2 linked regions of the Lepisosteus oculatus genome follow. The protein of the gene in region 2 interacts with the protein of the main gene of each other region in a biochemical or structural test. Links are inferred from orthologs where the notes say so. Each region holds a gene or a part of one and is shown on either strand. Other genes may lie near its edges.

Region 1 (7,545 bases), on a different chromosome or scaffold from region 2:
GGCGTGAGGTCATGACACACCCCTCCTCAGACCCGCGCAGGCCTGTGAGTCGGCCGCCCAGCTACCCGACCGATCTCCACAACGCACTGTCTCCCCTGGACTCGGCCTCCGCGTCTGTCCCGTCTGCCTTTCTCCCCTGATGCGGGACAGGAGCCCTCCGGCGTCCAGATCAAAGCCGAGTTTAGAGCAATGGTCGGGCCAAAGGCTCATGCTGGGCGAGCAGAGCCTTTCGATCGGCGCCGGCGGAGCCCGGAGGCGCAGCGTGCTGTTAGCAGAAACGACCCAGGCTCACAAGGGGTCGAGTCTCACACCACGGGCCTGATTACGAGTCCATTCCGGTCGGCCCGAGCCAGTGGGGCACCCCCTACTGTTAGATCTTACTGTTAGGCCATCCGTTAGTACAAAATCCCCCCACCCCCACCCACCCTGTGTGTCTTAAGGACAGGCTGGAGCCGGAGCAGGGGCTACGAGGCTCCGGACCTCCTGTGCACACCTCTAAGGCACCACGATTTTCACGATTGTGAATCCTGTCACAACAGCGATTTGCACAAGCGATACAGGATGGAGAGCCACACATAATAGTAAAGGGAACTTTTGCTCAGCTGAAATGCTGGCATTTTGACCAGAATGCTACATGTAGAATGCCACACACACGCACGCACTCACACACCTCGGGTGACACGCCTGTGAAATCACAGCACGAGGAGCAGCCGGCAGTATCTCAGGTCCAAGGGTCTGGCCGGGTCTCGTTACCAGCAGGGAGTTTGCAATCGCACTGATAAGACAGGCCTCGGAGGAGGGCGATCCTCAGCTCCACAACAGCTCCTCAGTCCCAAGTCTCTACTTAAGGACTTTGAGCCCCCAGGGCTATCAAAAGCAGGGTTTTGGGTCATGCTATCTTCGAAGCACAGCCAGTTTGGATAAGGAGGGACAGATAAAGTGAGATAAACCAGTGGTTATTAGGAGACAGCTTTATCTGTTAGCGTCTGGGGTTTGTGAGTGAAAGCTCTGTATTCTGGGTGCAGTGTATTGGTTATTACCAATCTGAAAATATAGCCAAGGATTTCTGTGGAGTCATCTGTGGTAAGCCCCAGTGTATTTGATCTCTGGAGTTTGCGGCCCTAAAGCAATGTTAGAATAGCACCTTTCCTCTCGTGTGAGGGTGTTCCCTCCTGACACCCTCCCACAGTCCCCCACAGCTCACACAGGGCATCGGCATGTTCTCAGCTCACAGTACAGTATACAAAGTCCATGCCCCGCAACACACAAAAATACATGAAAATCATATTCATGCGTGTTTACAGCATTTCAGACTGAGGTTCACAGACAGTGAGCGCTCGTATATCTACACATGGGTGAATCTACGTGTTTTTTACAGTTTTGGATTTTTTAATGTACAAGAATGCATTAACTAAACTATACATGATATATGTACTGTGTGTATGTTATACAGCTGTAGATATCTGAAATATCCAGTCTTATTAGGTATGGTTGCCATGGTTTTTCTGTTCTTGAAGCCAATATGTGGAAAAAAAAACCCAGATATGAAGACTAGACAAACTATACACACACAAAACATACTGCTCCACACTGACAGAGGCACACACACTGCCTGCGCAGTCCCTCGATGACACCCTATCAAGCTGACTCTGTCACAGACGAGCCGAGACACAGCTCCACACGCTGCAGCACCAGCGGAAATAGGACACGGACCAAGCTTGTACTCAACAAGACCCTTCCACAAAATCCACAGCCCCTACACACACTCTGCCCTGTGCCTCCTCCGAGGCAGGCCGATTTTTCTAAGCTTGGATAATGAAACAGCAGCCAATCCTCTTAAAGCTCTGATCACAGCAGCTCCTGCACAAAGACTCAGACGTGGTGTCACGACCGTTAGTGGGCACCTAAGGCGAGCTACAGGCAAACAAGATCTTTCCTAGCCATTTCTAACGAACCGGCTGCAACCACCGGAAATTCTAGGCCTGACCCGTACTCCATCAGGGTGAAACTGCACGTCTCTGGCACCGACTACGGCAGATCCACCCCTGAAGCCCCAGTGCAATCAGAAGGGATCTCGTGTCATATAGAGCCCGCCACGGAGTTGAAGCCGATAGCCTGGCTCCTTTCAGGGAATGGCTGGACGAGCTCCTCCAGTCAGCACCGGAGGCGCTTCTTTACACTAAGGGTGGTGGGAGTAGAGAAAAAGCTGCCCGGCCCTGTTGTTAAAGCCGCAAACTTGGCTTCTTTCAAGACACAGATGGAGGAATTCCTTGGATCAGTTAGCTGCTTTGTTAGGGGGCCAAAAAGGCCAGATGGGACGTTTGTAAGCTTTCTTATGTTCTCAACTGCTGTCAACCTTTCAGCGAGCTGATTACTTGAAGGCACAGAGTTTTAGTGTTTCCGGACACACAGCTCCCAGACACAAAGAGTGCCCCAAGATCGTCTAGCCCTGTAACCCAGCAGCATGCCTTTCCGAAGGAACCCACAGTTTTCAGAACTGATTCAGATACCTTGATGCCCCTGCAGTCTCGATCTGCTTCTCGTTTGAAATCAGTCGGTGTGCACTCAATAACCCGAGAATCCAAGAAAAAGTTTCTCCCTCTTCTAAAACGGCTCTTTTAAGTCGGGAAGAAGAGCGGATTGTCCAGAAACCGGCCAGTTCTCGGCCAGAAAACAAGGGCAGTCCGAGTTACGCTCAGGAAAGTTTGACACTCTTTCTGTCTGAGTAGTCCCGAGAGACAGGATCACTCTCTGGAGACCCACACATCCAAAAACGCTTCACAGTTCCAATCTCCCGTCAAGTGTAAAGGAATCAAGCACAGCCTGACCTGCTGCAGCAGAGCCCTCTCTCCTCTCCCGTCTCCCCTATCTCCTGTCCCCTGTTTCCTCACCTCTCCCCTCTCCCTTGTCTCCTGTCTCCTGTCCCCTCTCCCCTGTCCCTCTCCCGTATGGAAGTGCAGTCTTACCTCTCCTGGATGTGTGCGATGTGTGTGGCCCAGCTGAGGTGGTGGCGGGTTTTATCCTCTCTCTCCCAGCCTCTATCTCTGCTTTCGTGGAGCTGGACCCCTGACCTCGGCTCCTGACTGCCTGGAGCCTGGGATCAAGGGTTAGTGTGAGTCAGGAGCACAGTAAACAGGGAGACAGGAGCGTCCTCTGTACCTGCACACACTGCGCAGGCTGCTGCACTCCGCTCCACAACACCACGTGCACAACTATACACACCGTTACACACTGCACACACCACTATACACACCGTTACACACTGCACACACCACTATACACACCGTTACACACCAGGCACAGCATTATACACACCGTTACACACTGCACACACCACTATACACACCGTTACACACCAGGCACAGCATTATACACACCGTTACACACTGCACACACCACTATACACACCGTTACACACCAGGCACAGCATTATACACACCGTTACACACTGCACACACCACTATACACACCGTTACACACCAGGCACAGCATTATACACACCGTTACACACTGCACACACCACTATACACACCGTTACACACCACCCACAGCACTATACACACCGTTACACACTGACACAACTTGTACAGCACTACCGTTACACACTGACACACCACTATACAAACTGTTACGTACCGTACACACCACTATACACACCGTTACACATTGCGCACAGCACTATACACACCGTTACACACCATGCAGAGCATTATACACACCGTTACACACTGACACACCACTATACACACCGTTACACTCTGCACACACCACTATACACACCGTTGCACAATGACACACCACTATACACACCGTTACACACCGCCCACAGCATTATACACACCATTACACACTGCGCACACCATTATACACACCGTTACACACCACCCACAGCACTATACACACCGTTACACACTGACACAACTTGTACAGCACTACCGTTACACACTGACACACCACTATACAAACTGTTACGTACCGTACACACCACTATACACACCGTTACACATTGCGCACAGCACTATACACACCGTTACACACCGTGCAGAGCATTATACACACCGTTACACACTGCACACACCACTATACACACCATTACACATTGCGCACAGCACTATACACACCGATACACACCGTGCAGAGCATTATACACACCGTTACACTCTGCACACACCACTATACACACCGTTGCACAATGACACACCACTATACACACCGTTACACACCGCCCACAGCACTATACACACTGGTTACACACTGACACACCACCATACACACCGTTACACACTGACACACCACAATCCAAACTGTTACACACTGCGCACAGCACTATACACACTGTTACACACCGCACACAGCACTACCGTTACACACTGACACACCACTATACAAACCGTTACGTACCGTACACACCACTATACACACAATTAAACATTGCGCACAGCACTATACACACCATTACACACTGCACACATCACTATACGCACCATTACATGCTGACAGATCACTATATACACTGGTACACACTGACACACCACTACAAACGCACTGCTTCACACTATACACACTACTACTACGCACTGAACACATTCATATGTACACACACTGCACTCACCAGTACACTACCCCTAAATACTGTACTTTATACACACTCAGTGCACACTCATTTCTGGTCTTTCTCAAGCAATGTGTGCGAAACCCAGACAGTTAATCCCACGCCTTCACCCTCGATAGAGGAGGTTCACTCCAGAGCATTGTGTGGACTGACTGGTTAAAGGCACAGCGTCCAGGGGCACCTGTCCACACAGGCACTGTGGGTCCCTCAGAACAGCCGATTAATTTCAGGATTAAATCTGTTGCAGAAGGAAGACCATGTGATCTGAAATTAACATGAGTCAACCTGCACGTCCGTGCTTTCATTATCTCTTTGCTCTCCTTTTACTTTATGCTGTTCCGCGTGTTAATTTTTTATTGATCTATCACCCTGAGCTGCACGTACCCTGCCAGCAGTCAGAGGGAGTGCCGTGCCGGTGTCTTCACACTGCCCTCTGAGTCCAGTTTCCAGCAGGTCTACAAGAGGTCAGCCTCGCTGGAGCCGCCTGACAGACACCTGTCCGAAAGTTAGAGAGTCCATTCATCTGCTGTTACACCTGCTGGCTGTTTTTTCACCTTCTGACCACTGAGCTTCACAGTGAACCCTCAGATCTGAGGGTATGAGGCCCTCCAGCGTCCAGGAAATCTGGGTCACAGTCAGCCCAGGAATCAAACCAGTCCGGGCTGCGGGACTCTGCACTCGTATCCAAAACTGATTCTCCACTGCTTGCTATATGCTTATGCATGAGGAGCTCTGACCACCTTAGTGCATAGTGTGGGACAGACCCCAGTCTCCTGGTGTCCAGTGGTGCCCAGAGTAGCTTAGCTGCCCATTTCTCTAGGTGCACTATAGATCCTTCTATTCACTGCGCAGTGACAGACACCATCGACTCACAGCATAGTCCAGCCCAAGAAGCCACAGGTCTTTAGTTCCATCCACCCATTTTCTAACAGCTTAGTCCAGTGCAGGGTCTCAGGGGAGCCAGAATCTCTCCCAGCAAGATATGGGAGACACAGGACACACACAGACACACCAGGGCCAGTTTTCCCAGAAGACAATTCACCTACCAGCCTGTCTCTGAACTGTGGGAGGAAACAGTTCAGAACACAGGGAGAACATGCAAACTCCACACAGACAGCACCCCAGGACCTGAACCCAGGGCCCCAGGGCTGGGCGGCAGGAATCCTCCCCCACTGCATCTCTGTGGAACATGGAATCATAACGTATTTAATTGGGACGTTTTGCTGTTGATTGACACTGTAATGTCCAAGTGAAAATAAAATTTCTACAGATCCTCCTAATTATAAATGTAAAACAGAGAATAATTGCATATTCCCAAATCATTAGAGGTGTTGCCAGTATTAGTCCAACAGTCTTATTGCGGGGGCACCAGGGAAAACTGAGAACACAGAGGCACTTCTTTACACTAAAGGTGGTGGGTGTCTGGAACAAGTGGCAGCAGCCCTGTTTCTGAAGCTGATTCCCCTGTGATCCTTCCCTAACTGGCTAGATTAATTAAACTATTAACAGTCTAATGAGCTTTTCCTTTTCACTACTGCGGTGAGCCGCAGAGGCTGGTCTCACAGCCCCCCACCCCCCTCCTTCATCGCTGCCCCATTTGGCACAGGAGCCTGTGGGTGAAAGCGCAGCGTCAGATGGTTTGTGGAGCGCAGAACAGGCTGTGTCAGAGGGGCGGTCAATAAGATGGCTGATTAAGGAAGGATTAATGATTAGCACAGCCAGTGGCTGATAGTGGAGTGCTGATTGCTGACTCTCTCACGCTGATAGCAGGACTGCTGAACCAGCAGCTCCCTCCTGCCTCGCTCTGCATCTGCTTTTCTCTCTCGTTCCCTGTCTCTTTCAGCCGTTCTGTGTACCTCTGTCCCTTCTCCATCTCCTTCACACTCTGTCCCAGTGCCTCTCAGATTCCAATTCCAACAGCTTTTAATTGGGGTGACCGATGGATTACAGGGTGGCCAAAGCTGATACAATTAACACAGCATTTACAGACACTTGCAGTACGAACGTGTTATTGGACATCACAGATCTCACATGAAACAGGCTGTCTGTGCCTCAGGCTGGGACGGGAGATCACATACTGCACGGAGGCTTCCTCCTCCTTCCCCCATTAGAACTGGGAGCTCTTCTGATCCTGGCAGGTGTGGGAATTCTGGGATTATACTTGTTATTTTAGGGGAGAATGTTTAATGTCTGATCTCTTCTTTCTTTCAGTGCAGCAGAAGGTGCATCTCTGTCTTTGCTTCTCCCTGCTGGCAGTAGGAGCACAGCCTGTCCTCTCTGGGAAGCCAGGTCCCTCTGCCTGTGTCCAGTTTCTATGTCCAGGCTGTGGTCACTGTGACTGTCCTCTCTGGACAGCCAGGTCTGCCTGTGTCCAGTTTCTATGGCCAGGCTGTGGACACTGAGCCTCTACTTCGTCTGGATCTGTTGCTCTTTGCTGTCTCTCCCCCTGGTTAGATAAATACTTAGCTAGAGTAAATGACTTTTTAGCACATTCCAGTTTGTGTGTTTCCCACTGGGTACGGTGGTATTGTTTGGCCTGTGTTGGGATTTGATTGGCTGTGATGTGTTGTTTTTGTAGTGCTGTCCTGATGTCAGTGAACTACAGGACCAGCTGATCAAGGGGCTCTTCTCTGTGTTCAGCAGGGCCTTGTGGTTGAAGGAGTTCTATTCACTGACATGTAACCAATACTTTATTGCTCTTTTATGTATATTAATCAGCAGTAGTGTCTGGTCCAATTCTGTGTGCTCTGTATGTTTGTGTTTCTGTGGGTTGTTTGTCCAATGTATTGTAATTTTGGTCTGTAATTGGAACCTATACTTCACTGCCAAATAGGGAAAGGGGTTAGATTATACTTTCAAATATTCACAGCCAGATGTTTACAGGATGGCTGATATTGCACAGTACAGTATACACAGCCAGTTGTGTGTTCCAA
Region 2 (7,699 bases):
GAAACACAAGACATAGGAGCCCACTGAAGTTCAGGAAGAAATCTTTGAAGTTCAAGAAGACTTCTGTCTAGCATCCACTAGAAAAAACTAAACATCATGAAAAGCTGTACTTACTGTGGGCTAAAGGACATATCTACTCATTGTGGGCAACTAGAACTACAGCTTCCAGACTTCTACATCAAGCAATGACAATGATACAATCATTGATTCAAGACCCAGATTACCCAGATTCAAAAGCAATAGAACAATGTCATTGTTTTACTCCCACAGCTGTTAACCTGCTCAATTTGGATAATTAACTGTACATTTTACTTTTAGATACATATTTATTTTCTTATGGTACATGTATGTCTTATTTGTGAATGGGTCCATGTTGTGTTAAATGTATTGCGTACTGTGTTATGTCAGTTACCTGCTTGCAAAGCAAATTTCCCATTTGGGACAATAAAGTAAGTACAGTAATGTTGACATGAGGTTTGTACTCACTGCGGGCTGGCAGGGGTAGTGATGTGTATTTTGGACAGTGTCTCCTCCAGATCCTGCAGCTCTGTATTCAGATCTTCATCCCCTGCCTCCTCCTCCCCCTTCCACTCTCCAGCCTCAGACAACTGCTCCTCTGGCAGCGTCTCCATTTCTTACAGGACTGAAAATGAGAAAGAGGAGGACAACCTGAACTCCACAGGATCACCTCTCACCCTGTCTTCAAAGGGACAGAACTATCAATCAATCAGAGTTTATTTATCAAATGCACAATAATACAGCGTGCAGTTATTATTATTATTATTATTATTATTATTATTATTATTATTATATTATAGCAGTAGTTGCTGGCAACAAAATGTCTATCAATATCAATTACATCATATTTTTGTTTTACTATTCTTTATAATCATATAATCATATAATTGTTCTATCCATTCTTTATTTGAATTACCCTAAATATATCTATAAATATATACAGTAGGAGGCATCAGATTCCTCCTGTTAAGGAGGATTCCTTGTGCTTATTGTGTGCCTTGTGCTTATTGAAACAGAAGGCACAGAATTAAATTATCTACTGTAATTACCAAGAGAAAACAGTGTAACACAGTACACCTTGACATTTTATGTTAAATACATTTAACAATTACAAGTTTACGTCGTGCCACAGAACAGTGTAAATATATCCTTACTGCAGCTGCTAAATATTTAAGGAAGCTCGACCATTTTCCGTTCAGTATACAAAACTAAATAGTTTATCCGGTTTCATAATTTATTTACGGTTTAGTATACGATAGTTTAACTATAGTTTATAAACAGTTTCTGAAACTTCTAACCCCTGTTTTCATAAATCACATTGTTTATTTACTCAGCCGCATAATCAACAGGTACATTCTACTGTCACTGATTGTTTTTTACCCCTTGTTTCATTTTTAAACATGTAGATATTGAAATAAAAGATTAATCGCACCATTCCCCATCACAGTACCTCTGAACGACCGTCCCGTTTACGACCGTCTCCATGGCCACGGCAGCGCTGGATCACGCTGTTCCGTGGCCCCGCCCCTTGCGTAAGCAGCGTGAGGAGACGAGCTGCGGGTTTCTCCTGGTTTGAACTATTGAAAAGCGCGGACATTTTCTACATCTGACTAGTGCTACTTGAAGATATAGATCTTAAAGGACTCCTACGGTTTCATTTTCGATTTTGCACGTGAAAAACAATTACCAAATAACAACAAAAAAAATAAGGCCACATCTTCCTTTTATCTTCTGTATCTTCATGTACAGGCTACGCTCTTAAATACCTGACCGAGCCCCGACCCTTAAAAAGCAGAAAGTATTCTAAGACTTGATGATCTCAAGTTCTAGAAATCTTCTATTAATTAATTAACCCCCACCTTTTGGAAACAGCAATTGCTTGGGGGGGAACTCATGAAAACAATCTAAATGCTAAAAACATTGATCTGTTGAGTGCGGATTCCGGAAACCAGATTCTCACCAGAAATAAAAACCAGACTAGACTAGACCAGACCAGACCATATACGTTTCAAATGTAGCTCCCTCGGTTGTCACGTCGGCGCAGTGGATCGTATTGCTGTGGCCCTGGGTTCCATTCTGGACCCGGGGTGCTCTCTGTGTGGAGTCTGTGCTCCCCTACGATTGTGTGGGTCAATTCCAGGTGCTCTGATTTCCCCCTTCAGTCCAAAGACATGCTGGTAGGTGAATTGGTTTCAGGGAAGATTTGGCCCTGGTGAGAGTGTTTGTGTGCGTGGTTGTATCCGTGTGTGCCCTGCGATAGACTGGTGTCCTGTCCAGGGTGTATCCTGCCTCATGCCTGTTGTTTGCTGAGATAGTCTCCGGCTCCCTTCTGACCCTGTATGGGCTGAAGTGGTTAGAAAATGGATGGATGGATTTCTCTTGAATATTAAACAGTCACCCACTTTGTATCACATTTACGCCTTCAGAGGAAAACTGAGCCCAGGAACAGGCGGGAGGATTGGACAACTACACATGTGCATACTTATAAAATCAATGGGGAAATACTCTCCTGGAGTAGTTCACTTACGAAGGTTGTCCATTGAAAAGTCTGTAGTGACACAGTCATACAACTAGAGGTCGCCAGAATTGCTTCAAAGGACTGGTCTCACCTACAGTATATGAACTGATAGTTTTGATCATTGTCCTGGAACGCAGACAATCTCACATGGGATTCATGGTTCACTAGAAGTGGGGTTTAAACAGGAGTGCTTTTCTGTGATGGACTGGTCTCTCTCATCCAGGGTGTATCACGCTGTGGGCCAGTTGCTTGCTGGGATTGGCTCCGTCTCCCCCACCACCCTGGACTCGATAAAGCAGTTAGCGGTTGTAACTTTGTTAAAACTCTCAAAGTCAGGATCACCACATAGACCACTCATGTCCCATCAGTGTTGGAGAGTTCTATGTGCAAAGGTTGTTTGACCAATGTTACCAGAGTCTGCAATGTTCCACACTATGTAATCATTGGATAACTACATTGCAAATTACCCTGGGTGCCGAGTGTCTGCCAGCAAATAAAGATAGTGAAATATTTGGTACGAAGACATCAGATTTCCAAATATTTACTAAAGTAACCTATTGTTCTGCATGAAAATAAAAAGTTGTCTTCTACAGATAGGGAATAATCCAATGAATTGAAATGGATAACAGTTTGAAAGTATGCAGCTGCCTGTATTTTGGGGAAATTTGAACTTTCTACCTTTTTCCATCTGTATTACAAAACAGGTCTGCACTTGCAATCTCTGTGTGACTGCTGTTAATGTTTCACAATGTTCATATAGTACACATCAACTGTTTAGCTGGTTAGGGGATCAATAGTTCATAGGTGAATTAGATAATGTTTCTGTTCACCAATCCATCAGACAGAAAAGAAACATATTCTTAGGGAACTTCCCCTGTAGAAGAACTTCTCTGATTCAGTATAGGACACAACTTGTAAGTGCAAGCTAAATCAAAACAGACAGTAGCTTTCTATTCCAGAAGCGTATCTGGTTGCAAACAATGCTTGCTCATGCCTGAGTAACTTACCCGACAGAGGAACAGTGGCTGGGATCTTTAAGCAGATGCAGAGGATTGGATTTGATATCCTATCCTTTCACAAACAATGGTAACAAAACAAGGCCGCTGATGACATATCAGCCAGTCTTGATTTGATTTCAAGGCAAATGACTAAACTCTGACACAGTCCTCACACTGTCTGGCACTTCAGTCAACAACATTTTCATCATAGGCTCAGGATTTGCACCTTATTGCATCAATTTGCAGACAATAATAGAACTGCAATGTTGACACAATTGGTCCTGCGGTGCAGCCATAGATACCCGGCTCTCGTACAGGACGCTGGACTTCAGTGGTGCCGTGTGTAATAGGTCTCTTACTGTAAGAGTTATGTCACTTGTCTGGTCTGGACTGTGCAATTGAGGCTCAAGTGATGACAGTTCAAGTACAGGGTCCAAATACACACACTGCTTCTTCCTTCAAACTGAGTCTTGCTGGGGTAAGTGCACTGTTGCTCCTCCTAACCTGCCACTCATGGTGGCAATGGGATCCCTGGCTCCCCCAGGATTGAAAGGGACTATAACACTGTAGCGGAGGCCACTCTGATCAAGAGGTTGAACTCACATTGTAATGACTCAACAAGCTCTTTACCACATTCAAGTCCACCGGGCCACACAATTAGCAGTTACATATATATTCAATTCAATATTCCAGTAATTCACCAGTAAACCTGGAGCGCATTTCTTCAACTTGAGACAAGATAGCATTGTTCTGAGTGACTGCATTAAAACAACATTCAGAGTTAATTGAATAATGTCAGAATGGAGCAAAATAACAGCTTGTATAAAATAAGTATTTAATACCAAAAATACCTAATAAAATACCTGTTTTATTTGAAATAAATAAAATACTTTTTTATTTTTTAACCAAATAAAAAAGCTGAGAGGAGTAATTGAGAGATGAGGTCAAATTATTGCGAGAAGCATCTGTAACCCTTAAAGTCTGGACTTGCCCATCCCAGGCAGAAGATTTCTAGCACAGAGTGATTCCTTTTTGGCCCACTGTCCTCCTCTGAAAGGCTAGGCTTGCCCCTCGGTGTAAAACATTGCATAGAAATTGTTTACTCTAGCCAGAGCTCAGATAAAAAGCTTGTGATTTGTCAACGATGTCTAAAGCCGGAGTCTCATCAGTATTCAGGTGGTGGTGAGATCTGACTGGAGCATTCCACTGGCCTACAGGGTGCTGAGTGCGTACACTGGGCTTCCAGCGTGGGAGAGCTTCTGCCAGAGACTCTGCCCTCGCAGCCTTTTTCTCCATTGGCCCTGATAAGACAGCTGCAGAGGCTCATCAGCGCAGCAGCGAGAGAGAGAATCATGGGCCGCCGCACCTCTGTGTCGCCTCTGCTTCTGCTGCTGGTTCTGGGTGTCTTCCCCCGGCCTTCGCCCGGATTCTGGCTCTTCAATGTCATCTTTCCTCCCAGCGTCGAGCCCAGAGAGTCCCAGACGAACAGCACCCCGCCTCTCATCCTAGGTGAGTGTCAGGGAGGGCAGTCGGGTTCCGGGTCTCCGGAGGAGTGGCGGCCTTTTTGTATTCCAGGAGCATTTTTCGAAAGTATGCATTCAAACCTACCGAAAGCCGTGCTCTTTCAGCTGGTTTGTTAATGCAGTCAGGAGCGTTAAATAATGACACAAAGGCCTGCTGTTAGGTTTCAGAAATAGGTTTTTGTTTTGGGAACATGTGTTTTGTGAAAAGTAGGGAATATCGTATGCATCTTTGCGATTCCAGTGGGTGTTCTATGAATAGTGAACTCAGACTGAGAATTGGTTGTTTCTACTTCATTTATCATTCACCACAACAAATATCCTGCACTATACAACAGCTTCTAAAATAGCCTCTGAAGATACTATTATTATACAGACCTGTAGTCAAAGCTTTTCTCAGAGTGGAGATACTATCAGTTGGACATGACCCCGGTTTCGGCCTGCATTTTTAACACTTGACTGTTCAGGTTTCATTTGCACTGATAAGCTGTGAGCACAGCTTGCCAGGGGTGTCTCATACAGCATGCTGTACTATACTGTTGCACTTTTGGACAAATCTGTGTAAGGAAGTTCAGAGTAGATGATGGACCTATTTAGACTGAAAGTAGAAGATACTTTTTTGCTCAGAGATTTACCACCTGTCCCTCCTAACTGGCTCCCTAGGATACATCTGGATAAGACTCAGTCACACAGTTCTACTTTAAGTCCAACAAATAAGATGGGAGTTAACCTCCTTTAGTTGTGATCACCCTCTGTCCTTGCATTCTTTTTTAAAGTTAGACACAAGGGAAAAACTGGGAACGAGAATCACGATGAATCATTTACAGTAACTCACTCCAAAAATAGGGGAATAAATTGAAAGGAGGCATGTAAAGCATTCTGACCTGTGACCTCTTACCACTGCACAGTGCCAGGAAACCTGGGAAACCGGCTGGAAGCCAGGATTGACAAGCCCAGCCTGGTGCACTGGCTGTGCTACAGGAAGACGGAGAACTTCTTCACCATCTGGATCGATCTCAACATGTTTATGCCCATTGGCATCGACTGCTGGATAGATAACATCCGGTACAGTAGCACCGTCGTGTCGTAGCTCTCACTTTGTTGCCACCAACCTCACCATTTGTGTTGCCTTTCGTCAGGGGAAAAGGGCTCATTGTCAACAAACACCCACTGCTCTCATCTGCCTCTTCACTCAAGAGAGCCCAAAACCAGGAACCAGAAATCTGAGACATTGTCCCTCTTCCCACTCATTGCACCTTCAGTTCTGATCAGAATTGATCCAAGCACGGAGGCTTCTCTTGAACCACGCCTCACTGGTGATCAGACAGCTGGGTGAAACCACCAGTGAATCCCAATCCAAGCTTCACCTCCACCTCAAAACAAGTGCCTTAAGTTACTTTGCATCTGCATCTGCCTACATCAACAGAAACAGACCAGCCTTCCTCTGACTGATCAGAATCTGTGTCATTTCAGGATTGTGTACAACAGGACAACCCGGAAAAGCTCCAATGCCCCTGGAGTAGAGATTCGAGTACCCGGATTTGGCCAGACCTACCCTGTGGAATTTCTGGACACCAACAAGCTAACAGGTGTGCAGCTCTACATACAATACAATACAATACAATGATACAATTGTTATACACCATTACAATATTTTAGATAGGACTGGAAAAACATACCAACGGACATGTTAAAACCAAATGCATTTATGGGTATATTTTAGGTATTATATTATTTAGGTACATATTTTTCAAGGAGTGTCAGAAATACATTCAGATAATGAAGGGTTAAATAGCCTCATATGGTGAATAGCCTGTATTTCCTCTTGGACATTTAACAGGGGAATTCAAGCAAATGACATGCCCTTTTGAGAACTTCCACAGACTAATTAATTGATCACCTTTTGCATTTGTCATATGAGAATGGACTGTGACCACAAATCTGTTGTCTTGCAGGTTATTTCCACACCATGGTGGAGCACCTGGTGAATTTTGGATACGTCCGGAATGAGACCATTCGTGCAGCGCCGTACGACTGGAGAATTGCGCCCAGTGAGTGTCAGGCCTCAATGCAGTACTGAACCCCCACGGCACATAAAAATCTCAGAGAAGGAGAGGTTTGCTGTGATTATGAATCGCACATCTTGTGCTTAATTCACAGTATAATATATTTTATACAACATCTGTCACTGTACATTCTGCCATCTACATTATATCACCCTCCGCAATTCCTGAACACCTGGCACTGGGAAGTGAGGGTTGCTGAGGGCTTGACTACTTGTGAACATGAAATAGCCTTGCCACTACTACTTACCACCAGAGGTCGCTATGGTCAGCCTGGCAATACCCAGTTCAATTGTACTAATTCAAGCGACTTGTCTTGGATAAATGTGCCAGCCTTCTAAATTCGTGATGAAATAATATTGATAGTTTTAATCAATTGTTTTTACTGGCATCATTGGATAGAAGTGCTGTTTAATGAAATGAGTAACTTTATCATCCCTTCACAAAGAGCAATGCCAGTGCCTTTAAGAAATGCAGCTGATGTACTAAGAACTAAGTGATTCCCACTGAGAATTACTCTAGAGGGATAATTATTGAAATGAAGGTCAGGAACCCAAAGTAAAATGCTAGAAGAAAACTGTT

Evidence for each region.
Region 1: the proteins of lcat (region 2) and apoa1a form a complex in vitro, tested with the Homo sapiens proteins (6 studies listed by BioGRID and IntAct, with this or other methods). The link is inferred for Lepisosteus oculatus from reciprocal best matches to the Homo sapiens genes LCAT and APOA1.

Annotation. Positions count from the first base shown.
Region 1 is NC_090718.1:4,780,027-4,787,571, forward strand, and holds the start of apoa1a (apolipoprotein A-Ia), read right to left. Parts: upstream 3,022-7,545; 5' UTR 2,967-3,021; intron 1-2,966. UniProt on the Homo sapiens protein: Participates in the reverse transport of cholesterol from tissues to the liver for excretion by promoting cholesterol efflux from tissues and by acting as a cofactor for the lecithin cholesterol acyltransferase (LCAT).
Region 2 is NC_090715.1:11,488,094-11,495,792, reverse strand, and holds the start of lcat (phosphatidylcholine-sterol acyltransferase), read left to right. Parts: upstream 1-4,678; 5' UTR 4,679-4,886; coding exon 4,887-5,043; intron 5,044-5,962; coding exon 5,963-6,119; intron 6,120-6,527; coding exon 6,528-6,643; intron 6,644-7,009; coding exon 7,010-7,105; intron 7,106-7,699. Other genes in the region: ccdc135 (dynein regulatory complex subunit 7), read right to left, coding at 487-632. UniProt on the Homo sapiens protein: Central enzyme in the extracellular metabolism of plasma lipoproteins.